7 linked regions of the Macaca mulatta genome follow. The protein of the gene in region 2 binds, or shares a complex with, the protein of the main gene of each other region. Links are inferred from orthologs where the notes say so. Each region holds a gene or a part of one and is shown on either strand. Other genes may lie near its edges. The genes, in order: E2F2, TFDP2, E2F4, RBL1, E2F6, LIN9 and RBL2.

The links.
Region 1: TFDP2 (region 2) and E2F2 share a complex: the UniProt entries of both Homo sapiens proteins name them as parts of the DRTF1/E2F transcription factor complex. The link is inferred for Macaca mulatta from reciprocal best matches to the Homo sapiens genes TFDP2 and E2F2.
Region 3: TFDP2 (region 2) and E2F4 share a complex: the UniProt entries of both Homo sapiens proteins name them as parts of the DRTF1/E2F transcription factor complex. The link is inferred for Macaca mulatta from reciprocal best matches to the Homo sapiens genes TFDP2 and E2F4.
Region 4: TFDP2 (region 2) and RBL1 share a complex: the UniProt entries of both Homo sapiens proteins name them as parts of the DREAM complex. The link is inferred for Macaca mulatta from reciprocal best matches to the Homo sapiens genes TFDP2 and RBL1.
Region 5: TFDP2 (region 2) and E2F6 share a complex: the UniProt entries of both Homo sapiens proteins name them as parts of the DRTF1/E2F transcription factor complex. The link is inferred for Macaca mulatta from reciprocal best matches to the Homo sapiens genes TFDP2 and E2F6.
Region 6: TFDP2 (region 2) and LIN9 share a complex: the UniProt entries of both Homo sapiens proteins name them as parts of the DREAM complex. The link is inferred for Macaca mulatta from reciprocal best matches to the Homo sapiens genes TFDP2 and LIN9.
Region 7: TFDP2 (region 2) and RBL2 share a complex: the UniProt entries of both Homo sapiens proteins name them as parts of the DREAM complex. The link is inferred for Macaca mulatta from reciprocal best matches to the Homo sapiens genes TFDP2 and RBL2.

What each region holds. Positions count from the first base shown.
Region 1 is NC_133406.1:217,472,175-217,476,401, reverse strand, and holds the start of E2F2 (transcription factor E2F2), read right to left. Parts: upstream 2,957-4,227; 5' UTR 2,485-2,956; coding exon 2,233-2,484; intron 1-2,232. UniProt on the Homo sapiens protein: Transcription activator that binds DNA cooperatively with DP proteins through the E2 recognition site, 5'-TTTC[CG]CGC-3' found in the promoter region of a number of genes whose products are involved in cell cycle regulation or in DNA replication.
Region 2 is NC_133407.1:44,949,166-44,952,875, forward strand, and holds part of TFDP2 (transcription factor Dp-2), read right to left. Parts: intron 3,512-3,710; coding exon of another isoform or gene 3,509-3,511; coding exon 3,365-3,508; intron 1-3,364. UniProt on the Homo sapiens protein: Can stimulate E2F-dependent transcription.
Region 3 is NC_133425.1:62,733,936-62,738,308, reverse strand, and holds the start of E2F4 (transcription factor E2F4), read right to left. Parts: upstream 2,958-4,373; 5' UTR 2,917-2,957; coding exon 2,782-2,916; intron 2,657-2,781; exon of another isoform or gene 2,603-2,656; coding exon of another isoform or gene 2,467-2,602; intron 2,383-2,466; coding exon 2,273-2,382; intron 2,135-2,272; coding exon 1,973-2,134; intron 1,665-1,972; coding exon 1,621-1,664; intron 723-1,620; coding exon 661-722; intron 440-660; coding exon 139-439; intron 1-138. UniProt on the Homo sapiens protein: Transcription activator that binds DNA cooperatively with DP proteins through the E2 recognition site, 5'-TTTC[CG]CGC-3' found in the promoter region of a number of genes whose products are involved in cell cycle regulation or in DNA replication.
Region 4 is NC_133415.1:89,949,341-89,953,524, reverse strand, and holds the start of RBL1 (retinoblastoma-like protein 1), read left to right. Parts: upstream 1-1,316; 5' UTR 1,317-1,388; coding exon 1,389-1,544; exon of another isoform or gene 1,545-1,558; intron 1,559-4,184. UniProt on the Homo sapiens protein: Key regulator of entry into cell division. Directly involved in heterochromatin formation by maintaining overall chromatin structure and, in particular, that of constitutive heterochromatin by stabilizing histone methylation.
Region 5 is NC_133418.1:113,370,549-113,374,767, reverse strand, and holds the start of E2F6 (transcription factor E2F6), read right to left. Parts: upstream 2,872-4,219; 5' UTR 2,614-2,871; coding exon 2,506-2,613; intron 1-2,505. UniProt on the Homo sapiens protein: Inhibitor of E2F-dependent transcription. Binds DNA cooperatively with DP proteins through the E2 recognition site, 5'-TTTC[CG]CGC-3'. Has a preference for the 5'-TTTCCCGC-3' E2F recognition site.
Region 6 is NC_133406.1:84,044,509-84,048,218, forward strand, and holds part of LIN9 (protein lin-9 homolog), read right to left. Parts: intron 1,904-3,710; coding exon 1,770-1,903; intron 569-1,769; coding exon 443-568; intron 1-442. UniProt on the Homo sapiens protein: Acts as a tumor suppressor. Inhibits DNA synthesis. Its ability to inhibit oncogenic transformation is mediated through its association with RB1. Plays a role in the expression of genes required for the G1/S transition.
Region 7 is NC_133425.1:48,962,344-48,966,053, reverse strand, and holds part of RBL2 (retinoblastoma-like protein 2), read right to left. Parts: intron 2,854-3,710; coding exon 2,782-2,853; intron 2,124-2,781; coding exon 2,018-2,123; intron 1,451-2,017; coding exon 1,242-1,450; intron 381-1,241; coding exon 216-380; intron 1-215. UniProt on the Homo sapiens protein: Key regulator of entry into cell division. Directly involved in heterochromatin formation by maintaining overall chromatin structure and, in particular, that of constitutive heterochromatin by stabilizing histone methylation.

The sequences.
Region 1 (4,227 bases), on a different chromosome or scaffold from region 2:
TCGCTTTAAACAGAAGCTCCCCAACAAATCCTGCTCACCTTGCACTTTGCAGCCTGGCCACAAAGCAAGTGGCCACACCCAGGGTTGGGTTTGGAGCTGCTCCAGGTCACACCCTTGTAAAATGAGTAAGCAGAGGGCAGGCCTGCCCACGGGGCTGGGCCCCGGGCATCTGGGGATGACAGGAGTGGGAACTCTGGGCCTGGCAGGCATTTAGGGTGGTCTGCTGCAAGGAGACTCTCCTGCTTCTTTGCTTGTGACCCAGGCAAGTGACTTCCTTTCTTTGCTCAGTTTCCTTATCTGCAAGATGCCTCATTCTGAACATCTTGACCAAGATAATGAACGTGAAGAGTGCCAAGCAGTGTCTGGCACACGAGAGGCACTCAGTAAAAAAGAGACCTTCTTGCTAAGATCACTGAGCCCCTCTGGGAGGGAGGTACAGACAAGATGCACTTGGGCTCCTCTGGGAGGGTTCAAAGCAGTGGAAAACCACAGCTGTTACTGAAAATTCCAGTGTGAAAGCAGCTGGCCAGAGGAGAGTGGGCCTGCTGCAAAGTTCCCTTCCCCGGGGGGTACTCAGCTCCTAAGTCAGGCAGTAATAAAGAAAGTCAAGGCTACATAGAGAAGAGCCTACTGCCTGACCAGGTGCAGTAGCTCATGCCTGTAATCCCAGCACTTTGGGAGGCCGAGGCAAGAGGATCGCTTGAGCCCAAGAGTTTGAGACCAGCCTGGGGAACATAGGGAGACCCCTGTCTCTGCAAAAAATAAAACAGAGAAGAGCCTACTGCCTTGTGAGTCCCATCACTCTATCCCATCCCCATCTCTGACCTTAGGTCACATCCCCTCTCTGAGCCTGTTTTCCCCCTGTAACATGGAGCTACTAATGCCATCTATTTCACAAACTACAAAGATGTTTTGGGCTATAAAACGCTGACCACAAGATCACCAATCCCAGTTATCCTCGGTTGCTTAACCTGTAATATGGGGACAATACCATTCCTGCCCACTGCCCTCCTAGTTAGAAATCATGTGCAGGAAGGGTCTCCGGGAAGGTTAACGTTTTGAACATGGGCAAAGCCTGAGTCCACTGGCAGGGAGTAGTGGCTCTGCCTGCATCCAGAGCTGGCTGGGCATCCGTGCCTGCTGACTAGCACAGGTCTGACCAGATGCCTCTGGGGCAGTGGGGGGTGGTCTTATCCCTGTACTGAACTTATTCACCACACCCACAACTAAGCAAACCTATAACACCCCAATCCTCTCCCTGGAGCCGGCTTCCAAAACCCAGGACCTGGAGTCGAATGTGGCAGAGAAGAGCTAGCCCCACAGCCACCCTGTGCACACACGCATTGTCAAGGAGAGGACACTGAGGCCCAGACTGGGGCCAAGACTTGTCCAAGGACACACAGAAAATTAATGGCAGTCACACCAGAAACCAGGCTCCTCAACCACCACCACCCCCACTTCCCCGGGCTTTTCCCATTCCACCCCCCACCCTAAAGTTGTTTTGATTCACATGGGCTCCAGGAATTCCACTCCCACAAAACACACCCTGAGCCCAGGTCGGCAGGCAGCCTGGTGCCACTACACTTTGGGCCATCTCTGGCAACGAGCCTGGGAGCTTAAGGAGAGAGCAGCCAATCTGAACAGAACCCAGGGGGCTGCCCACATTTCTATCTGCTACAGGCTGCCTGGGAGGGAAGATTGGGCCTTGGGGAGGACCAAGGGCAGATACTTGGGGCTATACCAGGAGTTGGCTGGACAATTTGGAGTCTGTCCATGGCAGATTGAACCTGAGAGACTCACTAGACCTATCCCTCTGTCTTACCAAAGTCCCACAGTGTCCCCAGGCATGCTCTTTGCCTGGACAATAGCAGGCACCCAGTGCTGGTTTCTGGCCAAACAATGAAGTAATGAATGAATGGCGGCAACTTTGGCTGCATGGGCTTCCCCAAGGTCACACAGTGCACTGGGAGTAGTGGGTTGGGTCTCCCTCCAGACTCGCAATCCAGTGCTCATTCCACTCCACTAGAATGGATGAGATTACTTCATCCAAAGTCTGAAAATGAAGGGGTCTTCTACTCAGATATTGGGGGCACTGGGTCCTGGAAACTGAAAGCTCATCTTCCCTCTTCCCAAAACTCTACCTGCTCCACTCAAACTGGATCTCAGGCACCCCTCCCTCCTTTCCCACACCTGGAAAAGCATAGGGGGAAGCGGTGGGGGCCCCAGCATTACCGGCAGCCGGCCTGCCGGCAGGCATCGAACAACTTGGCCCTCGGGTCCGTGGGGAGTGGCATCGAGGCAGGTGCCGGGCGCCACTGCGGGAGGCGCCGTCTGCGGGTACAGCGGCGTGTAGTAGGTGGTAGTAGCTGGGCAGAGCTGGGGGCTGCTGAGGCCGGATGGCCACAGCTCTGTGGGGCTCATCGCGGGCACCACCTTCGGGGGCTGCCCAGCGGCCGAAACCAAGGCCCGGGGCCCTTGCAGCATAGCGAGTAAGGCGCCCCCTACCCAAACGGGCCTGGCGCGCCCGCCGACACCTGCGGGTTCCGGTGCTGCAGCCGCTCACACGGCCCGCGGCATGGCGCGGAGGCCGGGGGAAGCCACCAATGGACGTCTGCGGGGCAAGGCCGGACCCTCCCCTCCTGGCCCGCAGCCGAGCAGAGCAGCGCTTGGAGATCGCCACTTGGAGATCGACCGGCGGTTGCGGTGGTGGCACTGCCAGGGGCTGTCCCGCCCCGAGGGCACCGCGACCCGGGACGCCCCGCGCCCCCCAAGGCCTCGGCACCTGGGGTCCGGCCGGCTCTGGGGAGGAGTCCCCGGCGTGCCCGCGAGCTCCGTGGAGACGCGATGCGCTGGGACGGGGAAGGGGGTCTCGACTGCACCGACTTCCTTGCGGCCCGCTCTCTAGTCCCTGAGTCTTTCTCTGCCTCTTTTTTTTTCTTTTTTCTTTTTTTTTTTTTTTTTTTAAGCGCCAAACGGCGTGCCGCGAAATTCGGATCTCCCGCGGAAAATGCCGCGCTCCCGTTGGCTGCTGCAAGAGTACAGGCTCCACCCCCCGGAAAGAACCAGTCCTCGAGGCGGCGATTGCAACACGAGCTTCGCTGCTTAAAGGGGCAGCCACACCTGCTGTCGGTGCCGCCCGCCGCTGGACGCACTAGCTAGCAGCCGGCGAGACGGAGACAGGGTGGTTCTGGGATGCACAGTGCAGAGGCGGCCAGAACAGAGCACAGCGCCCCGAGAAATGGGCCCGGATTCCCTGGGGTTGAAGGGAAACATTTTGGCGCCGGGTCCCGACCTGAGCCCAGACTCAGCAGTGTATTCCCCAGGCCACAGGCCCTTTTGTTAGTTTGCATTGTTGCTTAGCTAGCACATGTGCATTCATATCCCCTTTCCTGCTAAAATGAAGGCCAGGAACTTGTTCCCTTTAATGGCAGAGGGGTGAGGGATGGAGGCAAACTAGTCTACTTCTTTATAGGGAAAACTAACATCTATTCAGCGCCTGCAGGATGCCAAGCACCATGCTAGATCCTTACAAGGGTTGTTTTAATTTATTCCAACAATCCTGGGAAGAGGAATGATGATCCCCATGATAAAGACTGACAGTCTGAAAGGCTGGGTAACTTGCCCAAGGTCATACAGAGAGATTCCCTGATTTGAGAGCTGGCAATGGAATCTGGGACAGGTCCCAGCTCTGGAGCCCTTGTTTTTCCAGTTAAGGGGTTCTTCTACCCTCCCAAGCTGCCTGCCGGCACAGCAGGGTCAGAGGCCCACTGCAGAGCTTTGTCTTATTCACAGTTGTATTCTTAGGACCCAACACTCAGTAAATGTTTGAACATCTCCAGGTTTCTTTTAAACAATCCTTTTGTCACAAGAGCCTCCCTGCCTCATTCAAAAATCTTCATTGCTGATAATATATTCCTCACCACTCCAGTTTAGAGAGACTCAGAGAAGCAACCTTTGGTAGTGAGTGGTAAAGCTGCTAGAAGCTGCTGCTACATTCCAGGTCTGATTCTTGCCTGGTGCTGTGTGATTTTTATGCAAGTCTGAGCCTTGGCATTCAAAACCCTCCAGAGACAGTCCACAGCTTATTTCCTCATTAGATGGTTGAGGACAAGGTGGCAATAACCCATGATGATTAAGAGCCCAGGCTGTGTGGCCAACAGCCCTGAGTTCAAACCCAGGCCCAGACACTTTATTCGTTGTGTGACCTAGGCAAATTTTGTAAATTCT
Region 2 (3,710 bases):
GACAGCTGATCATACAGATATCTCACACATCATGGTAGGCTGGGCGTAGTGGCTCACGCCTGTAATCCCAGCACTTTGGGAGGCCAAGGTGGGAGAATCACTTGAGATCAGGAGTTTGAGACCAGCCTGGCCAACATGGCGAAACCCCGTCTCTACAAAAAATACAAAAGCCGTGTGTAGTGGCGCGCGCCTATAGTCCCAGCTAATTGGGAGGCTGAGACACAAGAATTGCTTGAACTCGGGAGGTGGAGGTTGCAGTGAGCCGAGATCACGCCACTGCACTCCAGCCTGGGCAACAAAGCAAGACCCTGTCTCAAAAAAAAAAAAAAAAAAAAAAAGAAACATGCTTATTGGACAAATTTTCCAGCTTCAAACCACTGCTTTTTTTTTCTCAATCTGATAACTACTTAAAGAAAACAGACTTAGGGTCTGAACTTCCTTGCAGTTGAGTTCCTCACTGTCTCCTTGGGCAAAAGCCAAAGACATCTATTAAGAAAATTTATGGCCGGGAGTGGTGGCTCACGCCTGTAATCCCAGTACTTTGGGAGGCCAAGGTGGGCGGATCACGAGGTCAGGAGTTCGAGAGCAGCCTGGCCAAGAGACCAGCCTGGCCCATAAAGTGAAACTTTGTCTCTACTAAAAAAAAAAAAAAAAAAAAAAAAAAATTAGCCAGGCATAGTGGCAGGCACCAGTAATCCCATCTACTTGGGAGGCTGAGGCAGGAGAATTGCTTGAACCTGGGAGGTGGAGGTTGCAGGAGCTGACAAAGATCGTGCCATTGAACTCCAGCCTGGGTGACAGAGCAAAACTCCAACTCAAAACAAAAAAAAAAAAAAGAAAGAAAATTTACAGGAGCCCATTGGTTTGGACTGAGCTCCTGCACTAGGCCCCAACAGACCAAACTAAAATGGAGTCACTCATGCTGAAGTTCCATGCCACCAGGCCAAAACTAAGTTGTTTATCTGACCTAGGAAATCAGGAGAGAAAGACAGAATAGTAAACTACCCAAACAGGCCAGTTGCAGCTGGCATAAGAGAGTCTTCTCTGTTTTACCCTTACAAGGAAAGTGACATTGAAATGTCCAGTCTGCTTTTTCATCTGTTTCTGCCTCTATCTGCCTTTGCTGCTTCTCTATCTTTAAAACACTGAATAATGTTCAACCTCTTCTGCTCAGCTTATAGGAACACTCATTCTACTTACTAGTGAGGTATTGCCAGATTCTAGAATCACAAATAAAAGACAATTAAGATCTTTAAATTTGTTACAATTTTGTCTTTCGATCATCAAATAAGACATTTTTCTTTTCTGCTTCAGCAGATTATCTCTTACTTGCTCCGCATCCAGTCTAGTTTATACTAGGGAGTTTCCATTCATGATTCCTCTATCCACCACGTTTTACTTTTAAATTACTTAAGATTCACGTAAAATCTGTGTGGCGTTCTACATTGGAAAAGATGTTGTAGGAGCATCCCTTTATCAGAAGCTCTGACAAGCAAGGCCCCTTATCTGTCCCTCATCCAACTAGGTCAAGCCACACCGATTCTACCTCTATAACACCTCTCCAATCTCATGGCCACTGCTGTTAACTCAGACCATCTCTAATCCCCCTCCTCCATTCCATTTCCTTCCCTACCTGTTAATTTTACTTCCAACCCACTGGCAGAGTGATCCTTCAAAAAACATCCTATCAACCCTTCTCTTTGTAATTTATCAACTGCTTCCCTTTGTTTACAGGATCAGGTCCCCACTGCTTAACACTTAGATATCTATCCATCTTTCTAAATGCCTGTTCCCTAGCCACACCCAGCTCCAGGCAAGCTTTCTCACGCCTGTCTCAGCCCATGCAGCGCCTCTGCCTGGAAGGCCCTCCCCACCCGTATCCACTTGGCAAACTACTCCCACCTCATGCCTGAGCTCTGGGATTATCTCCTTGGTAAAGCCCTCCCCCATCCCTCTTTGCAGAGAATCTGTACATTTCTTTCATAGGAGTAATCACATTTTTGGTTAACTCTTTTACATTTCTCTTCTCCCCAGTTAGAATGACAGTTCCTTGGGTTCAGAGATTTGCCTTGTATAACCTGTGATTAAGCACAAGGTAGATGTGAATAGGTTTTTTTGCTTAGTAAGTCTTTAGTATAAGCTCAATATTACTCATGAAAATGATGCTCAAATTCCACTCTATCAGAAGGAAGAAAAACGAGAAAAGGAGGATATTTCCACTGTAGCATATGAAAAATATTATATAGCTTCTGATGAATATCTGGTTTCTCTCTCCATCCATAAGTATAATAATACCAAATAACTGAATTGCTGGGGAGAAAAAAGACTGAGAAAAACAGAAAACCAATCTTAATTATCTCCCAAAGCTATATGTATATACACACACACACACATATATATATATACATTTTTTTAAAGATGGAGTCTTGCTCTTATCGCCTAGACTGGAGTGCAATGGCATCATCTTGGTTCACTGTAACCTCTGCCTCCCGGGTTCAAAGGATTCTCCTGCCTCAGCCTTCCCAGTGGCTGGGATCACAGGCGTCCGCCACTGGCTAATTTTTGTATTTTTAGTAGAGATGGGGTTTCACCATTTTGGCCAGGCTGCTTGAACTCCTGACCTCAGGTGATCCACCCACCTTGGCCTCCCAAAGTGCTGGGATTATAGGCGTGAGCCACTGCGCCTGGCCCCAAAGCCGTATTTAACCTCAGTTTATTCCATTTATGGTCATGGTAGTAAAATTATGTCATGTCAATTTAGAAACAGTATGTCAGGGAACATGCTCATGTAGAAAGAATTTTCTATAATGCTTAAAGTTAACAGAACTTAAAATGCTTCTGCATACATAATTCCAAAATTCTATTCATTCTGGTAAAGACACAAACGAAACACTATTCATTCTGTTGCTATTATTTCTAAAGTCAAATGCAAAAGTCTGACTTTCACAGCTATATTCAGAATATTGTGTAACCAATAAAGGAAATCAACAGCCAGCTTGATCCTTTTTTTTTTTTTTTGGATACATACAGCAAGCATCTTATCAAATAAGATACCATTTCACCAAAAGTTTATTAGTAGAGTGCTCAGAATTAACTTAGAATGAAATAAAAATCTTCTCTAAGAAACAGTAAAATCAAACTGTTATTTAACTTTTATATCCCTCAGTTTCATCATTTACAAATTAAACTGTAGACTATACCTATAAGGCACCTTCCAATTCTAAAATTCTACAGTCTGTTAAAAAATGACATAGTATACATGAAAAATTGGAAATATTTTATATTACAATTACATTTTTAAATTAAAATGCCTCTGATGTAAAATAATACAAAAAGCTATTCATAAACAGATTTTCTCACTTACCTCCAGATTCTGACATTCCTGAGCAGAATTGGTAGGCAGGCCAATCCACTTGATTTCTTTTTTTTCCTTTGAAATTATGTTCATTGCCATTAGCACATTTAAAGCATCATAAACTCTTCGCCTAATGTTTTTCTGATCGTAAGCCTGCTAAAAAACATTTTCATTGAGTGATAATTAAGGGTTAAGATACAGTCACATGATATTAATATGTCAAATTAATATTATGTCTTCAAAGTGCTGGAAGGATTCTATTTTTTTATTTAGCAAACTGACAAAGACATCCAAAAGAATTCTATATTCCGTGAAAATATCCTTCAAAATTAAAGATGAAATAAAAATACTTTCA
Region 3 (4,373 bases), on a different chromosome or scaffold from region 2:
AGCAAGGGAAGGCTAGGTGGAGGTCAGGAAAAAGACAATCCCCATCTTGAAGGGTCTCTTCCAACTCTGAGTGTGGTGTTTCACAACACAGAGATACTGCCTCTTGGGCCTCTGTCACAAGCTCCCATGGTGCCTCACCTGTGATCTCAGCTGCTGGGCCAGCCATTCCCTGGACTTCTGCGCTGCCGGGGACAGGAGTGGGAGTGAGCTGAGGACTATTTGGACGTGAGGCTTCCTGGGATTGGGACTGGGCTAGGGCAGGCTTCGGCAGAGGTGGAGGCGTGGAAACAGCAGGTGGGTTCTGGAGCAGATCTTCAGGTGGTGGCACAGGCACAGCCACAGGGGGTGAGCTCCATGCCTCCTTGTTCACCAGCAGAACCTCAATGGGACCACTCACACTCTTCAGGTGAATCTGGTACTTCTTCTGCCCATTGAGACCCTAGAGATGGGTGGTAAGGGATGGGAGATGGGTAGAATTGGAAGCAGGCTTGGCTCCTGCCCGACTCTGTCAGGACCAGTGTCCTCTCCCACCCAGGATGCCCATCCTCCTAGATAACCCCAAACTCCAGGCCTCCCCTACCTGCCCCACCCGGGACTTATCAGTCTCCACAGCCAGCACCCGCCCTCAGCTGACCCCGCCTGCCTGGGCTAAGCACCCACCTCTGGGATGGGCACCTCCAGGCTGGTGCCTGATGGGGCCCGGATGGCCAAGAGGGTATCTCCTAGAATGACATGGAGAATGGGTCAGAGCCCATGGGCTCAATCTGAGCTGGGAACAGAGGTGCCTGTCTTTTGGAGCAAGGCAGGAGATCATGGTCTCTGAGGGACTAGACAGTGGACCTCACCCATTCCCCATAGTGGCTGGGCAGAGCTAAAGCTCTTCTCTTCCTGAGAGCCCAGAGTCAGTAACCAGGAAATCTGGGTTCAAGTATGTGGAGTCAAATATCACTGGCCACAGGCACCTCACTCTTCCACCGATGGCTGTTCCCTAGGTGAAGGTATTCTAGCCAAGGCCAACATCCCTTTCCCATGACCAGTCAGGAGGATACATGATGGAGAAGAAACACATCAGCGGGGCACAGTGGCTCACACTTATAATCCCAGCACTTTAGGGGGTTGAGCGGGGAAGACAGCTTGAGCTCAGGAGTTCAAGACCAGCCTGGCAACATAGCAAGACCCTGTCTCTTTTTAAAAAAAAAAAAAAAGGAAAGAAAAAAAAGGAACATATCCTGCATTCACAATGCAATTAAACTAACAAGTTGGAGGTGGGCACCCCCATGCCCTGCATGTAAGAGCCTGCACACAAGCAAATACACACATATCCTCTCTCCCTTTCTCCCCCTTGTACCTCTATCATACTCAAGAAGCCAAATCCAGGAAACAGTACAGTTGGGAACAGACCCAGGAACCCACTCCAGAATTCCTGTACCCTCTTGGTATAGCTGACCTCCACAGGGTCCCAGTGACACTCAGACAGAAGACTTACCCTGCCTGGTTCCTCTCTGAGCAGGCCCCAGAAACCCTCTTAAGAGACGGAACTCTCCTGAGACACTGAACCCAGTGCTCAGGGATTTGGTTGAGCCCAGCCCACCCCCTCACCCCTACCCAGGCTCTGCTCACCAGCAAAGCATCTGCAGATGTCCTCATGAGTGACGTAGGCCAAAGTGTGAGGGTTAAGGAGAATGGCCGATGCCCTATGGTGACAGATGGCAGACTACAAAAAAGACCCAATTCTTTAGCCAAGGTCTGACACAGAGGCCCCTCAGAGAAAGTTCTGGGGACTCAGGTCCACTGGGGGAGGGATCACAGGCTAAGACTGGAAGGGGAGAGGCTCTGAGGAGGGAGCCTGAGGCTGGGCCATGGCCAGGGGCCACAGGACAAGCTCCCAAGAGGAACAGGGAGCTTGCCCAGGGCAAGTTGAACCAGAGGGCCCCTTGCCCACTCCCCCCAGGAGGGAACGCCAGGAGGATATCAGCTGTTCTGCACGTCCTCTGTGACGTTCCGGATGCTCTGCTGCACCCACACCTTGTGCTGGTCTAGTTCTTGCTCCCGCTGCTGCAGCTCCTCGATCTCTGCCTTGAGCTCAATCAGCTTGTCGGCAATCTCCCGGGTATTGCAGCCAGGCCCCACACCCCTGAGCCCAGGGAGTGGGGCTGAGAGGGACTGCTGAGAACTCTGGGTCCCACGGCCCCTGCCTTCTTTGGCACCCTCCACCCCACCCCCGACACTTCTGGGTGGGAGACTCTACTACCCTCCCACTATCCCCACTCACTTCCACTGGATGCTGTTCTTGGACTTTTTCTCGATCAGCCCGATACCTTCCAAAACATTGGTAATGTCGTAAATCCGCCGCTTCTGGCGTACAGCTAGGGTGTCAGCTGCCTGGCAGACAGAGTGGAGAATGCTCAGCCCCACTCTCGGGTGTACCCCCAGCCACCCTGAGACGTGGTCTGGGAAGGGAGTAACCTGGATTCCAACCCTGTAGTGCCTGCCAGGCGCTACTGCAGCTCAGGCCCGCAGCTCTGTCCCATAGGCAGCTCTTCTCCTCGCCAGCCAGGAAGGGCCACGAGGACGAACACCTGGAGCCCCGAGCCTGGCCCATAGCTGTAGCTCAATGGCCTCGGCCGAATGAATGAAACATTCCCCGGCTTCTCTCCTGTGAGAAAGCACACGATGGCGGCCGGCTCTCGGAGGACCCAGCTGGGCCGCCCCCGGGGTTCCCGCTACCGGCCCAGGCCTGGTCCACCATCCTCCCTTGTCGCCCCTTAGCCCGGGCCGCACCAGCTTGAGGTCAAGCACGCCGTCCTTGGCCTCCTGCAGAAGAGACACGAACTTGGTGGTGAGTAGTCCCAGGCTCTTTTCGTGCCGGCTTGGAGTGCCCGGGGGCGGCGGCGCCTGCGGCCCGGCCTCCGCCATCGCGTCCGCCCGCCGCCTCCCCTCAGCCAGGCCAGGCCAGGCCGGCGCCGCCGCCACTTCCGCTTCCGTTCCTGGCCGTCCGGCAGCCGGAGCCAGCGTTGCTGCTTCCGCTTCCGCCCCGTGCGTCTTCCAGGGAACGCGGCGCTATTGCTGTCTGTGGGTGCAACCGCAAAACTTCAGGGACCATTAGCAAATGTCCAGCCGCCGAATAAGACGAAAACTACCTGGGTAGACCGGGAGTTGGGATGAAGTTAGGGAGGAATGAGGAGGGCGTCAGTGGGCAGCCCTGGCAGTAGAGAAAGGGATGCCATCGGAACTTTCCTTGCCAATCTGCCCCAACATCACTAACTCTGCCCAGTCCCCATCTCGGGAGACAAGACCACACTACCTGACTAATCCAATCTGTTCCCTCAAATCAGTTCCTTTTAAATTTTTTTCTCTTTATTTATTCTTTTATATTTCAAACTCATTTTACTGCCACATCAAAAATGTTCCTAAAGGTTCCCCTACTGTCTTGGGGTCACCCCATCTATTCCTGTCCCTCACTTCCTGCCAAACAGCAAGCACTAACTATATCTACCTTGTCCACCTCTCTCCATCCATGGTCCTAGCCTCATCTTTCGCTCATCTTGTCCTCCCGCTACAGTGCTCAGAGACTATGGGGTTATATACACTTCAGCCAATGCAAACGTATTTACCTATGTGTATATATCAGTAAAGCACTCAGAGTCATTTCTGGCATGTAGGAAAGTTTGCTAGGGTCATTTTGTTACTTGTAACATTGTTACTATTTATTATTGTTTCTTTTAGGTCAGGTTCTATGGGAAATGGGACTCGAGACAGGGTTTTGCAGCAAGTTTGTTGGGGATCCACACTTCTTTTTTTTTTTTTTTTTTTTGAGACAGGATCTCACTCTGTTGCCCAGGCTGGAGTGCAGTGGCAAGATCAATGCCATCTCAGCTTCCTGGGCCCAAGCGATTCTCCCACCTCAGCCTCCCAAGTAGCTGGGACCACAGGCATGCACACACCATGCCTGGCTCATTTATTTTTAGTTTTTGTAGAGATGAGAGTCTCACTATATTGTCCAGGCTAGTCTCGAACTCATAGGCTCAAGCGATCCTCAGACCTCATCCCAATGCTGGGATGACAGCGTGAGCCATCACACCTGGTCAGGATCCACACCTTTAAGGGAGTAAGACAAGCAGAATCGGGCAGATGCAATTATATTATAGGCCTCAGCCTATGCCACTAGGATCTCTGAAATTGGGGTAGCACTTCTGAAGAGTTTATGTTCACGTGATGGTACCATGCTTTTGCACCCCAATATTGATCTCAGCAGCCTACACTCCTGGCAGCTGGAGAATGAGCACTTCTGTCCTGAAGGGTGGATTTGGGTGGTGGACTGAACATCCACTAAATTATTACCACCTTATAGTCCCTTCCCTGGCTCCCTATAA
Region 4 (4,184 bases), on a different chromosome or scaffold from region 2:
TGCCCCGCGGGGAGACAGCTAAGGCCCAACGAGAATTTGAGTGCGGCGCGGGCGTGCCGGCACTGCTGGGGGACCCAGCGCAACTTCCGCAGCTGCTGGCCCGGGTGCTAAGCCCCTCACTGCCCTGGGCCGGCGGCGCCAGCTGGCCGCTCCGTGTGCGGGGCCCGCCGATCCCCAGCCCGCGCCCGCTGGAACTTACACTGGCCCGCGAGCCCCGGGCGCAGCCCCGGTTCCCACCCGCACCTCTCCCTCCACACCTCCCTGCAAGCAGAGGGAGGCGGCTCCGGCCTCAGCCAGCCCAGAGAGGGGCTCCCACGGTGCCATGGCGGGCTGAAGGGCTCCTCAGGCGCCGCCAGAGTGGACGCTGAGGCCGAGGAGGCGCTGAGAGTGAGGGCTGCTAGCACATTGTCACCTCTCACAACCATTCAGAGGCTGGAGTGAAGTTACAAAGTTGCAAATGAAGACTGGAAGGCGCTCAGTGTGGTTTCTTGTGGATGGTCAATTTCCCATCTGCCATGCATGAAAGGTCCAAGGGAATAACCTCTGGTTCTTTTGTTACTTAGGCGTGGAAAGTTGGGGTTTTCCTTTCAATTTAGTTCTAGGAAGTCACGTGAAACAGCCATAGGTTCCCTGCCTCCAGACCCTATTCTCCTGCCTCATTACTGCAGTCTTCTCTGCCCGCGTCTTTTAGCGACTAACATAAGATGAGGATCCAACTTCTAATATCCCTCACCAGTCCTTCCCCTCCGTCATTTAGCGAACCGCTCACTGGGCACTGGGACTTTGGGGAGAGTCCCAGGAGGCCCCTCTTCGTCCAGGGGCTATTTTTTTTCTCTTCCAGCCTCCATCTCCTAACTCAAGGGGTACAGCTCAGTCAGATTATGTTTGGCGCCCCGGGACAGTGACAAACCCAGGGCCCGTGGATAGAGGAGGCATCTCACTACGCTGCACGAGGCCACCTCGCAGTAGGCAGCCCAGGCCTGCCCAAAAACCCAGGAGCCTAACCAGGAAGACAGGGGGAGGCCGCGGGCTTCATCTCCCAGGAGATGGACTACATCTCCCAGCAGGCTCTGCGCGCAGGCTGAGGATCCCTCCGCTCTTTTTTTTGTCCCGCCGGCTCGGCCCCCCGCGACCAGCCAAGGGCTAAGGCCAGGTATTTCAGAATCTGAGGTCCGTATTCTTATCACATTTCTGGGGAGGGACGGCTAGGAGCTCCGGAGGAAAAACGGACTTTTTTTTGAGGAGAAAAGCGGAGGCAGACGGTACAGACGAAGCACCCCCGCAACTGCAAGTTTTCGCGCGCTTTGGCGCAGGTGGTTGTGGGTAGCGCGCCTGGGAGGGAGAAAGAAGTCGGGGGCCGTGGCGCGCCGCCCGCGGGGCCTGAAGGGATGTTCGAGGACGAGTCCCACGCTGAGGGGGTGGCGGTGGTCGCCGCAGCCGGGGAGGCGCTACAGGCCCTGTGCCAGGAGCTGAACCTGGACGAGGGGAGCGCGGCCGAAGCCCTGGACGACTTTACTGCCATCCGAGGCAACTACAGCCTAGAGGTGAGCGGCAGCAGGTAGGGCGGCCGGACCCTACCCTCGCCAGGCCCCACCCCTGCCCCGCCCCTTCCCCGGCCTATGGGGTGGTGGGAGTTTCCCCATCTAGGAGGGTCGCTGCGCAGCCAGGCGCCGAGGGGCGGGAAGGGTGGATGTTGCTCAACCAATCCGCCCATCATTTTGAGGCGGGAAACTGAAGCCCAGGAAAGGAGCGGCCTAGGCCCTGCGCCACTCAAACCCCGGTCTTCCTGACCACACTTTACCCCGCTAAGCGCCACAAACGTCATGGTGGTGCCCTTAAATCGGTAAGAACAAATATAATGGTAAAGTGAAAATGAACTGCCTACCGAGACACCACTGGCCAGAGCTTTAAATGGACCCTCTCAGTTCCGTCTGAACCCCTTCTGTGATCCCCGTTCCACGCAAGAGGAAGCGGAACCCCAGACAGGTTAAGCTACAGGCCCAAGGTCACGCGGTTAGAGATGGAGCCAGACCCAGGGTCTGAGCCGTTTAACCTCCACCCTCTGCTTCATCAGGGTGGAGCTGCTGGTTGCTGTGCAGCGGTTTGATCAAAGCCAGTGTGCATACGAAGCTGATCTCAGCCCTGCGTTTCCTCCTCTGTCAGAGCATCGTCCTGATGCTTTGCATCAGCGTCTAGCTCTGAATAAAACAAATGTCAGTTATAATTACTCGATTTTTTTCCCCATCATTCTTGCATTTTATCTTCATAACAGCCCTGTGAACGTGGCATGGCAATGAGTATTAGACCTGCTTTCCAGGTGATAATGGCAAGGCTCAGAAGGTTGTCTTGCCCAGGGTTATTCTAATACAGAAACCCAGGCTGGGCGTGGTGGCTCACGCCTGTAATCCCAGCACTTTGGGAGGCCAAGGCGGGCGGATCATTTGAGGCCAGGAGTTTGAGACCAACCTGGGCAACATGGCGAAACCCCGTCTCTACTAAAAACTACAAAAATTAGCTGGGTGTGTTGGCGCCTGCCTGTAATCCCAGCTACTTGGAAGGCTGAGGCAGGAGAATTGCTTGAACCCAGGAGGCATAAGCTGCAGTGAGCAGAGATCACACCACTGCACTCCAGCCTGGGCGACAGAGCAAGACTCTATCTAAAGAGAGCAAGATGAGTATAAGCCTGATGGAGTGTATTTCATGTAGCACTCCACTGGCCCCATGTTCAAAGGCTTTCATGTGCCAAGGGCGCTGGACCAACTCCCAGGGTGCACCACTGACTCACCACCCAGTGAAATAATTGCTGGGTTCAAAGGCATAGAGTTGGATGTATATTGACTGTGTGCCTATATATGAAGGAAAAGTACCTGAAAAAGTCTTCCAGACTGGATAGACTGGGTAAAGGACAATGGTCCACATCCGTGGGTGGCATGACTGGAAAGCTGTGAGAAGAATAAGAAAGTAAGGGAGATTAGCCAGAGACGGTGGCTCATGCTTGTAATCCCAGCTCTTTGGGAGGCCAAGGCGGGCAGATCACGAGGTCAGGAGATTGAGACCATCCTGGCTAACACAGTGAAACCCCATCTCTACTGAAAATACAAAGAATTAGCCGGGCATGGTGGCGGGCACCTGTAGTCCCAGCTACTCCTGTCTCCTGAGACAGGAGAATGGCCTGAACCCGGGAGGCGGGGCTTGCAGTGAGCCGAGATGGCACGACTGCACTCCAGCCTGGGCCACAGAGTGAGACTCTGTCTCAAAAAAAAAAAAAAAAAGAAAAAAAAAAAAAGACAGATTAGAATGAATGGCCTCTCAATTGAAAACAGATTGATTTTTGAAAGCCTGAAAAAGCATTTCTGACATCCTAGTCTCATTTGGTCTCTCTTGCCCAAGGTCACACCATCTGTCATTGAATAAGTATTTACTGTGTCAAAACGGTCAAGGCGTGCACCTGTTTCAGATTCTTGAATATGACAAGCTTTTTCCCAGTTTTGTGGTATATCCGTGCCGTTCCCTCTGCCTGGAATCTTTCCCATCACCCCCAACACCAGGAAAGGTTGAGAGCTAAATCTCTAATTAGGCAGAGTTGAATAGGACAACTTCAATGTTTGCTTTATTTATTTATTTATTGTTTTTTTTTTTTCTTTCTTTCTTTTTTTCTTCCTTAGAAACAGGGTCTTGGCTGGGCACACGGTGGCTCACGTCTGTAATCGCAGCACTTTGGGAGGCCGAAGTGGGCAGATCTTCTTAGGTCCAAGACCAGCCTGGCCAGCATGGTGAAACCCCGTCTCTACTAAAAATGTAAAATTAGCCGGGCATGGTGACATGCGCCTGTAATTCCAGCTACTGGGGAGGCTGAGGCAGGAGAATCACTTGAACCTGGGAGGTAGAGGTTGCAGTGAGACGAGATTGCGCCATTGCACTCCACCCTGCACAACAAGAGTAAAACTCCGTCACAAAAAAAAAAAAAAAGAAAGAAAGAAAAGAAAAGAAACAGAGTCTTGCTCTTTTGACCAGGCCTGGAATGCAGTGGTGCAATTGTAGCTCACTGTAAACTCAAACTCCTAGGCTCAAGTGATCTTCCTGCTTCAGCCTCCCCAGTAGCTGGGACTACAGGCATACGCCACCGTGCTCAGCTAATTTTTCAATTTTTTATGGAGATAGTATCTGACTATGTTGCCCAAGCT
Region 5 (4,219 bases), on a different chromosome or scaffold from region 2:
GAGGGAGATTTATAGATTTGGGAATTACGATATGGTAACTGAAAATACCAGAAATGTATGTCTAAGATTTCAAGCGATGTATCTGCTGATATTGCATGCAAACTAAGTGGTTTTTCCACAGTGAGCTTAGAGTTTTTATCAAATTCTCAAATATTAAGACGACCAATACAGATGGTACCAATATACAGCTGATCCTCAAACAACACAGGTTTGAACTGTGTGGGTCCACTTAGATGCCAATTTTCTTTACCCCCTGCCACAACTTAGAGAGCAAAACCAACTCCTCCTCTTACTCCTCTTCATCAGCCTACTCAGTGTGAAGACAAGGATGAAGACCTTTACGATCATCTAATTCCCCTGAATGAGTAGGACTTTCTCTTATTTATGATTTTCTTAATAACGTTTTCTTTAGCTACTTTATTATAAGAATACACTAACTAATACATGTAAATACAAAATATGTGTTAATCAACTGTTTACAGTATCAGTAAGGCTTCCAGGAAACAGTAAAGTTTTGGGGGAATCAAAGTTATATTCAGATTTTGAATTTCATGTGATTTGGTGCCCCAAACCCTGAGTCGTTCAAGGATCAAATGTAGACGGTAACATAAGTCATGGGAGGAGAGAATGAACTCCCCTAAGAAGAATGTGTAGAGACAGCAGAAGAGAACCCTGAATATCATCAACATGTGGCCAGCCACGGTGGCTCACACCTGTAATCCCAGCACTTTGGGAAACTGAGGTGAGAGGACAGCTTGAGCCCAGGAGTTCAAGACCAGCCTGGGCCACGCAGGAAGACTTCCATATCTAAAAATAAAAAAATTAGCCAGGCCTTGTGGCATGTGCCTGTGGTCCCAGCTACTAGAGAGGTGGAGGCAGAAGAATCACTTGAGCCTGGGAGGTCAAGGCTGCAGTGAGCCAGGATGTGCCACTGCACTCCAGCCAGGGTGACAGAGTGAGATCCTGTCTCGGGGGAAAAAAAAATGAAGGACTGGGAAGAGGATGAGGACAAGGAGAGCCCAGAGAAGCAGATGGAACATCAATGTCAAGGAAACTCAAGGGAGAGTTTCCAACACAAGTAGTTTTGTGTCAAAACTACAACAGCTGCTGGAATTGACGAGATTGTCGGTGACCCTGGTTAGAATGGTCTCACAAGTGTGCTGAGGATAGGGGTCCCCAGCAGTGGGTTGGCTGATAATGAGACGATCAAGTGGAAAGAGTGAGTGTAAATAACTTTTTCAAGAAGTTTAGCTGTGAAGGGGAAGAGAGACAGTAGATGGCAAGGGATATGGAATTAAGGGAGGGATCTTTTAAGATGGGGATGGATTGAGAATGTGGTTTTAGTAGTCAAGAATTTATCATCTGGAGTTAGACATTTGGAGGTTCAACCCAAGTTTCTCCACTTACTATCTAGCCACAGGCAAGCCGGCATTACATGCATCTCCAGGTCTGTTTTGGCAACCGTAAAACAAGAATAATAGTCTTTTACTATTATAAAACACTGCTGTGAGAAATTAAATGAGACAATAATCACAAACTATTTGGTATGGGGACCAGGCATAATGACTTGGGAAAATGTTTAATTACTACTAGTTATAGGAAGAAAGCAGCAGAGAAATTGAAAATATGGGGAGAGGCCGGGCTCGGTGGCTCACGCCTTGTAATCCCATCACTTTGGGAGGCCGAGGCGGGTGGATCACCTGAGGTCGTCAGGAGTTCGAGACCAGCTTGGCCAACACGGTGAAATCCCGTCTCTACTATAAATACAAAATTAGCTGGGTGTGGTGGCGCATGACTGTGATCCCAGCTACATGGGAGGCTGAAGCAGAAGAATCGCTTGAACCTGGGAGGCGGCGGTTGCAGTGAGCTGAGATCGTGCCATTGCACTCCAGCCTGGGGAACAAGAGTAAAAACTCCATCTCAAAAAAAGAAAAAGAAAATACGGGAGGAATGGAAAAGAACGCATTTGTTAAGGACCTTGAGAACCGGGGAATACAGTATCTGGTCCAGAACAAGAGTAGAAGAAATCAGTCTTTGTGGGAAAGGGAGCCAAATCTCCTAACCATTTTCTCCGTCAAACAGGTGGGGAGATAATTTTATGAATGGGAGCTGTGGCGTGGTAAATATAAAGCGTGGACAAGGTTTTAAACGGCTGCAGTAGAGCAGAAGAGAGAGAAGGTAGAAGAACAAATGATAGGTTGCAGAGATACAGCTAGAGTCCACTGAAGGAGAAAAACATGGCCTTTCCAATGCAAAGTTGAGCAATTTTCTCCAACAGTGCCCTGAAGTTCCGATGTAAAAGTCCAGAAGACTGACACCACGTCTGTGAACAGATGCTGAAAGCAGAAGGCGGGAGAGCGCAGTTTCGCAGCACGTGATGGGCAGCGCCTGGCCCAGGGGGAGCAGACGACCGAGACGACGGCCAGCGGGGTTGGCGGCGGCGCGGGGAGGAGGGGGCCAGCTTTGGGAGACCCCCGCCCGTCCCCCTCCCGTCCCGGAGCTTACCAGCAGTCCCTCCACGTTGATGGGGTCTCGGCACCGACGGCGAACCGTCTCCTCCGCGGGGTCCAGGAGGAGACTGGGCAACTTCCTCGCCGGCCGCTGCTGACTCATGCTGCCCGGCCGGGCGTCCCGCTCCCCTCGCACCCCGCGAGCTCTCCCGCCCTCTCGCGCGCAGCTCGATCACCGCCCCCCACGCGCCGATTTCCAAGGGCCCAGAAACTGACGGATCCGCGGCGTCCTCCAAGGCCCCGCCCGGCTAGGCCGTCCCACCCGCCAGCAAACGCGGCACTGCCTCACGTGCCCGGGAACTCCCGACGAAGACGGGAAAGGAGGAGGTAAACCCGCGGCTCTCAAGTAGCCCGGCCCGCCATTTTTCCGCATGCGCAGTGTACCGCCCCCCTCTGCGCATGCCCGCCGCGGCCGGAGCGCTCCCACGCACTGATCCTCTCCCGGCGGCTGGCGCCCGGGAAACCCGGACCGCGGAATCCACGGAGAGGCTGGCAAAGGAAAAGGAAGAGGTGGAGCCGGATTCCAGAGGAAGGGAACGGGGGTGAGAGAAAACAGGCAGCTGGGAAAACGCAGCGCTCGCCTGGAATTCTCGACGGTGATAACTGAAAGCTCTCAGCCGCAAAGATGTTCATTTATTCCTTTTTTTAATTTTAATTTTTTTTTTTTTTGTCGCCCAGGCTGGAGTGCAGTGGCGTGGTCAGGGCTCACTGCAGCCTCGAATTCTTAGGCTCAAGCGATCCTCCCACCTCAGCCTCCCAAGTAGCTGGGACTACAGGCGCGCGCCACTGCGCCCGGCTAATTTTTAATTTTAATTTTAGTAGAGGCAGAGTCTCAGTATATTGCACCGACTGGTCTTGAACTCTGGGGCTCAAGCCATCCTCCCACCTTGGCCTCCCAAGTGCTGGGATTATAGGCATGAGCTACCACGCCCGGCCTTCATTTATTCCTGAGCTCTGTTAGCACATCTTACAGGCGGGTCAGTGTTGATGCTTAGTAAATGTGAGCAACCAAACCATTGTGGTATCGTTTTACTTCTGCCTGCCTGCCTTCTTTCCTTCCTTCCTGCCTTCCTTCCTTCCTGCCTTCCTTCCTTCCTTCCTTCCTCCCTCCTTCCTGTTTGATGAATGAGTTATCGTGGACCTATAGTGTCAGATATTGGGGTGAGCACAGGCGATACTTACTCATTTGGATATGCCACAGGTTCAACCTCCAATTTCAGTGGGGACAGATAAGTAAACAGAGCATGTTAATTAAGCTGGAGCCAGAGGTGTGTTTTCAAATCCTGGCTCCTACTTATAAACCAGAAGACCTTATTAAGCCAGTTACTTAATCTGCCTGTGCCTCAGTTTCCTTATTTGGAAAATGCGAATAATGACAATACTTACCTGATAAGGTTGTTGTGAGGATTAAATGGATTAATGGATACAGGTTGCTGTGATTAGAACAGAGGCCAGCACATGTTTGAAATAAAAAGGTAACACACCGTGGTGTGTACAGAGTTGGAGGGAAACAACCGGTTAGACTGGGGGTTTCTACACAGCCTGAGGTGGGCGAGGTGAGGTAGGGAGAAATCCCTGAAGAAGCTGGCTCCCCACTAGACTATGATGTCAGAGGTCTCTAATCTTTTTTTTTCCCCATTACCCAGGCTGGAGGGCAGTGGCATGGTCATAATTCACTGTAGCATCAAACTCCTGGTCTCAAGTGGTCT
Region 6 (3,710 bases), on a different chromosome or scaffold from region 2:
TAGGTAACGTAAAACAAAAAAATTATGTTCAAAACCTGTGATCCTAACAAAAATGAAATTGTGCATTTAATTATAAGATACATAAGCATAAACAGCACCTACATTAAAGTTGGTTAACAGGATATATTTAATACATAATTATTCTGAAAAGTTATGTTTTGGTACTAGTCATTTCAAAGATTAAAAAAAATCAATGTAGTAATGATACTAACAACTTTTACTGATTTTATTTTTTAATTCTTTTTAGAGGAAGGTTCTCACTGTGTTGCCCAGGCTGGAGTGTAGTGACTATTCACAGGTGTAATCACAGCATACTACAGCCCTGAACCCCTGGCCTTAAGCAAATACCCCATCTTAGCCTTCCAAGTAACTGGGATTATAAGTACATGCACTGCTCCTAGCTTGAATTTATTTTAAACAAAAACAAAAACATTATTTTTACCTCCGTGGTTTTCCCATAAGCCGCCTAATTTTTCCCCATTCTACTCTGGTTAACTTTCTTGTTTTCAAATTAGGAAAAGATTCCTTTAGACATACACAGAAGTCATTATCACCTTCAAAAAGCGGTCTGTAAAACAGAAATCGTATTTTAATGGTTACATACAATGTGTTACTTTCTTAAAACACATAAAATCACAAAATGCTAAACTTTCATTTCTACCCCATATACATAAAAACTGGCACAAATTCAAAGTGCTAAAACTAAATCCTTGGCATTTGTGAAACATCTAATGTGTAAAAGTTGTTCAAGAAATATTATTTGTGTTGTGATTCTAAAAGACACTGATTTTTGTTCAATTTCTTATACAGATATATCCTTTGGGAGGCTATCCTGGCCCTGGCCTTATATCAGGTGAAGATAAACCAAGGCAGCTACAAAGTATCTTTGTCCCAAAGGAATACCATCACCAAGGAGTCCTCTCTTGAATTAAACCAGTCTTGGGACACTGGAGGACTCTAGAGGGTTAGATTAGCTTGGGGGAATCCCAGAAGAACTCAGATCACACTGAGACACCCTGAAAACTCTCTTAAGCCTATGGACAAAAATAAAACAATTCTATTCATGAGTCTGGGAAACCAGGAACCAGTGTTGGCAATGATACATCAATGCCTTGGGCTCACATATGAACATTCATGAGATTCACAAGCTCCAGAGTAGGCAACTGGTATAGAAAACAGAGAAGGGAAGTAAACATAAATATCCAGCAGAGCAAGCAGCAATGACTGGCATATGAGGAAGGATTATAAATAAGAACTTTTCCTCAGTAAATTCCATTGTTGAATAACTGTATTTCAGTCAAATCTCATACTATGTTATACTTAAGCATATGTGTATACCTAATGTGCTTAAGTACCATATCCAAACTAGAAAGACTACCCTCCTAAAAATCTTAAGCCATTTTTACCATTAGTAATGGTTTCTCTATGATTATACCAACACTTAACATCTCAATTATAAAATGAATCTCATTCATTGCAAATAATGGTGTTTTAAGGTATCTCTACTCCATAGTCTTTAAAAATTATAACACAGAAATTATACTCTAATCAATTCTTCACAAAAATGTATAGTTTTCTTCCCCAACAAGGATAATGGGGAAGAAAACTATAACAAACAGAATAAATCCAACTGGAATGTGGAATAGAAAAATGAATTCAGGGAAAAATAAGATCAAAATAGACCTATAGAAAATGTTGTAGTTTAAAACACTTGAAAAACTTAAATTTACGATTCAAGTAATATTCATAATATAAGCCATGATACATACTTATCTATATTTGAATAGAACCACTCGTATATACACCATTTATGTGCTTTAGGAAGCTTGAGCAGATTACGTAATCGAAAACCAATCTTCTGTGAAGCTTTCTTATCTGGTGTTGACATTGTTGCTGTAAATTTCTATACAATAAAAAAAAAAGAGAGAGAGAGATTAATTTATAGCTCCATTAAGTAAAAATGAACATTTATAACCCTGAAAAAATTTGCAAAAGGTAAATTATGTTTAAGTACTCAAAAAGATTCACCAATATTCAACATGGAATTTTTGTTGCTGTTTTAAACACTCTGATTATTTTTGATTATTGCTGTTTTGTTTTGTTTTTTTGAGACAGAGTCTTGCTCTGTCGTCCAGGCTGTAGTGCAGTGGCATAATCTTGGCTCACTGCACCTCTGCCTCCCGGGTTCATGCAATTCTGCCTCAGTCTCCCGAGTAGCTGGGACTACAGGCGTGCACCACCACACCCAGCTAATTTTTGTATTTTTAGTAGAGACCGGGTTTCACCATGTTGGCCAGGCTGGTCTCGAACTCCTGATCTCAGGTAATCTGCCTGCCTCAGCTTCCCAAAGTGCTGGATTACAGGTGTGAGCCACAGCGCCCGGCTTAGATGGATACTTTTTTAATCTAGTAAAACATTTCTCTCCACTCCAACCCAAAAACCAGTATCATAATATTAAAAGACAATCAGAATGACAAATATTTCAACTACCACCACTAACCTAGTATGACAAAGATTTCAACTACGACTGCTATTTCATAACACTGTTTTGAAGGAGTTGGCCAATCAGGTAAGAATAATAAAATTTAGAAAGAAGATAAAACTACCATTTTCTTGTAGCTGAAAACACAAGAAAATCCACTGTAACAATTAAAAACAGTAAGAAAATTTAATGAAATGGGTAAATACAAAGTTGATATACAAAAACCACAATTCAAAAAAATCACTATCTTTTCTATATATAAATAATAACTGGACAGGTCATTAGAGTTTATATCCTGTTTATCATAGCGAAAAAAATTGACATAAACAAAAAATATTAAATATGTAGAAATATACTTAAGAAACATGCAAGACTGATATGGAAAAAAATGTTAAAGTCTGTGGAATACTAAGAACTAAGTGCAACTACAATCAGTTCTTAGGTAGTCTCAATGTTACCTATAGATATGTCATTTCTCATAAATTAATTTATAATATTAGTCCAACCCCAGTCAAAATGCCAACAGGCCATTTTTTTCCCTAGTCAAGTTGATTCTAAAGTCTACATGGAAAAATAAATGCACAAAAATATTTAGGAAAAAATCTTAGGCCAGGTGCGGTGGCTCACACCTGTAATCCCAGTACTTTGGGAGGCCAAGGCAGGTGAATCACAAGGTCAGGAGTTTGAGACAGCCTGGCCAATACAGTGAAACCCTATCTCTACCAAAAATACAAAAATTAGCCAGGCGTGGTGGCTGTGCCTGTAGTCCCAGCTACTCGGGAGGCTGAGGCAGAAGAACAGCTTGAACCTGGGAGGCGGAGGTTGCAATGAGCAGAGATTACACCACTGCACTCCAGCCTGGGCGACAGAGTGAGACTCCGTGTCAAAAAAAAAAAAAGGAAAAAAATCTTAAAAAAAAAATATGTGATAATATCTTAACAGGCATTAAAACATAGTATAAAGTCATGTTAAACCAATTTTGTGCATGTGTGTGTGTGTTTTGGTTTTGTTTGTTCTTTTGAGACAGGGTCTCTCTCCGTCACTTAGGCTGAAGTGCAGTGGTGCAAACATTGCTCACTACAGCCTTGACCTCCTGGGCTCAAGCCATCCTCCCACCTGAAAGTCCCAAGTAGCTGGGACTGCAGGCATGTGTCACCACATTGGGCTAATTCATGTTTTTTGTTTGTTTGTTTGTTTTTTGTTTTTTTTGAGACGGAGTCTCGCGCTG
Region 7 (3,710 bases), on a different chromosome or scaffold from region 2:
TCCAAATCCCTTACCCTGTTTCCAACCCTAAAATTCCACCCTCAAGAAAAGCAAAAAAACAACAAATCCTGGGTTTTGCTGCATGGGAACTGACTGATCACTGCTCCCTGGTAGCTCTCATCACTCTAATGAGTGCCTAGGCTTAGCACAAACCCTCTTTCTAGCATCTGAAGCATTTTGGGGTTAGTAAAGGCCAAGATTGATGTTAGGCTCACCTTTGAAGGACTGTTGCTGAAGTAATAGAAAATCTTTTCTCGAGGAGAAAGCATTGTTTCATTTTTATGTGGGGAAATGTAGACAGGATGATTTTGAGACAACTGTATTCGGCGAGGGGAGCCTGTTCTTACAAATGGATAGGGAGAGAGTGGAGGAGCATCCATCTGTTAAAAAAAAAAAATCAGTAACTCTAAGAAATTTATAATGAGGTATTTTTACTGAGAATGATAAGAGTGATATATTAGCACTAATTTAACCTAAAGAAAAACATTCTAATAGCAAACCTTAAGTGCTTAGTTTGTGCCAGTTATTATTTTAAGCAATTTTTATACATTATGTCATTTCATCCTTACAACTCCATATGCTAAGAACTAGTTATATTCCCATGTTTTATATATATGAGGAAACAAGGTACAGAGAAAATTTAATGATTTGCAAGGTTACCACTACTGTTACGTACTAGACAATTTGAACCCATGTAGCCTGTCTCTTGTACTACTATACTTTGTAGGGACTCCAAATACAATCTTATTCTTGTTTAATGCTTAACAACAGAACTTATGTTGGTTAGGTAAATTACAGACCTCCTCAGTTTTACTTAATAGAATTATTTGTAAAACTAGCTTATTTATTTATGAGACAGAGTCTCGTTCTGTCGCCCAGGCTGGAGTGCAGTGGCGCAATCTCAGCTCACTGCAACCTCTACCTCCCATGTTCAAACAATTCTCCTGCCTTAGCCCCCAGAGTAGCTGGGATTACACATGTGTTCTACCACGCCTGGCTCATTTTTGTATTTTTAGTGGAGACTGGGTTTTATTTACCACGTTGGCCAGGCTGGTCTCGAACTTCTGACCTCCACTGATCTGCCCGCTTCAGCCTCCCAAAGTGCTGGGATTACAGGTGTTAGCCACCACGCTTGGCCAAAACTAGTTTATATATGGACCAGGTGAATGGTCCATATATAAATCATAAATAATTCCTCAATACTCATGAAAAAAGCATGAAATGATCCCTGTAATACTTACTACATTTGCCTGGGAGTACTTCATGGCAAATGTCTTAATCTGTTTGATGTAGATGTTGTTGTAGAACTGAATGAGGTCTCCCCTCTCTTCTTCTTCCATGTCACTGTTGGCACCTGTGAGGCGAGTAGGTGTAGGAGGAGCACTGCTGGGCTGTGGAACTGGCAAGGTGCTGCTTGACCTCATGACTGGACTGGAGTCTCTACTGGCTGCTTCCAGGAGAACACAGGGTGTCAATACAAAAGCTGCTAGTATAGATTGTTTTAATTTTTAAAAAGTAGGAGAAAGGGAACAGCTACCTGCATTACTTGCTAATAACAGTGAATAGGCATTCTGTTCTTCACACCAAAAGGCAAAGCTCAGCTAGGATTTTAACTTGATATCCCTATGCCATAACCATAGCAAGGGCTTTCTGAGTAGTATTAATAAGCTACACCAAGTTTTCTAGGACCTAAGCCCTAGGACAAACCAACAGGTAGGGGATGGTATTTCCATAGCATGGCTCCAACTGACATGTCAGTCCTTTCTGAAACTCAGGCAAGCAGATTCCTCACTGAAAGCTCTAATTCTCCTGGAGAAAAATGTTATAGAATATGTGCCCCAAAGCTATGGAATGGACAGTTTTGCCACCCAGAATTTGGTTTACTGATCCATTAAACCCTTTGTTTATACACTTTCATAGTTTCTATAGTTATTTCATTTAGTAATGGTTACTTCAAGTCCTAAAAAGTAAGAAAAGCTCCTAATTTTGTCTTGTAGTTCACAAAGATCCCACTTACTTCTATCTTTGTTTAGTTCTGTTGGAGAATTCTGATGGCTTCTGCTATCACTGCTGCCGGAATTTCGTCTTTTTCTTTTCCCTTTTATCAAAACACTTCTATACACCTTTAGAGAAATAATGAGAAGGGGATGTAAACTAGTATTTGTTGAGCACACCCTTGGTGATAGGACCTTGACATATGTTACTTTTCACAATAATCTGTGTAGCAATAGTTGTCCTCAGAAGAGGTTAAGAAACATAACTCAAATTATAACAGATCTAAGATTCAATCAGAGCCCATCTAGCTTCACATGCCAAGTACTACTTGCAGTACCACGCTGCGGTAACAGCACCCAACCATAAAGTCAAGTCATTCTAAGTCAGATACACAGATCTGCCAATTTGCCTCTCAGAGACGAATCGTAATAAAGGCAAAGTGGGTTTTAAATTTCCATGTGACATTCTCTTGGTTAAACGTACAGTATGTTTACTAAACCAGAATGGTGACATAGAAACCAAGTAACTTCTTAATTCCAATCTATCTTGTGATTTTTCTGAATTGAGAAGGCAATCAAATATTTAACATTGTTGCCTTCTGAGGAAAAGAGAACTTAATCAACATGTGACATCAAGAATAAAGAAGATTAAAGCAGAAATTTCCCTTAAGTAGAGTCCCAGGTGTTTATCTTGGAAAAAAAGGCCACAGAGTCAACTATGGTTAATTTTTTGTATTCATCACAGACTTTAAGCGTTATTTTCAGCTCATAGAGAAAATGTAGTTACCTGGCTCCGGGCCTGTGGCTGAGTCCTATAACAACGCATAATATTCTGGAAGGACTTATCTTCTTTTGTGACCTGGCAAACAATAAGAGTGCTCTGAGAGATACAACAACTTCCACCATAATAGTGTGAGGAGCTGTGTGAACCTGCTGCCCAGTAAAAGGGGTGAAAATTATATAAAAGCTATTTAAAGTCTCTGGAAATGGTATTAAAGGCATATAGCAAATGAAGATACATCGATTCAAGAATATCTATTAAAATTCATTAAGAATAATATGTGAATCAAGACTTAGAGGCCGCTGCGGTGGTTCACACCTGTAATTCCAGCACTTTGGGAGGCCGAGGAGGGTGGCTCACTTGAAGTCAGGAGTTCAGCCTGGCCATCATGGTGAAACCCAGTATCTACTAAAAATTCAAAAATTAGCCAGGCATGGTGGCATGTGCCTGTAATCCCAGCTACTAGGGAGGCTGAGACAGGAGAATCACTTGAACCCGAGAGACGGAGGTTGCAGTGAGCTGAGATTGAGCCACTGTACAGTCTGGGCAACAGAGCAAGACTCATCTCAAAAAAAAAGACTTGGAGTAGAAAATTACAGTAACTGAAATGAAAAATTCACTAGAAGCTAGGGAAAATAGATTTGAAGTAGCAAAAAAACCAAAAAGATTAGCAAACGTGAAGAGATGGTGTGATCTGAGAACAGAGAAAGAATGAAGAAAAATAAACAGCCTCAGAGAAATGTGGCACAGCATTAAGGAAATCAACATAAGTGTAATGGGAGAATCAGGAGAGGAGAGAAAGAAGCAGAAAAAAATGTTCAAAGAAATACTGAAAACTTCCCAAATTTATTAAATTACATCTCCAGGACATTCAGTAACTTGCAAGTAGGATAAACTCATCTATAACCAGATATATCACAGTAAAAATGCTCAAA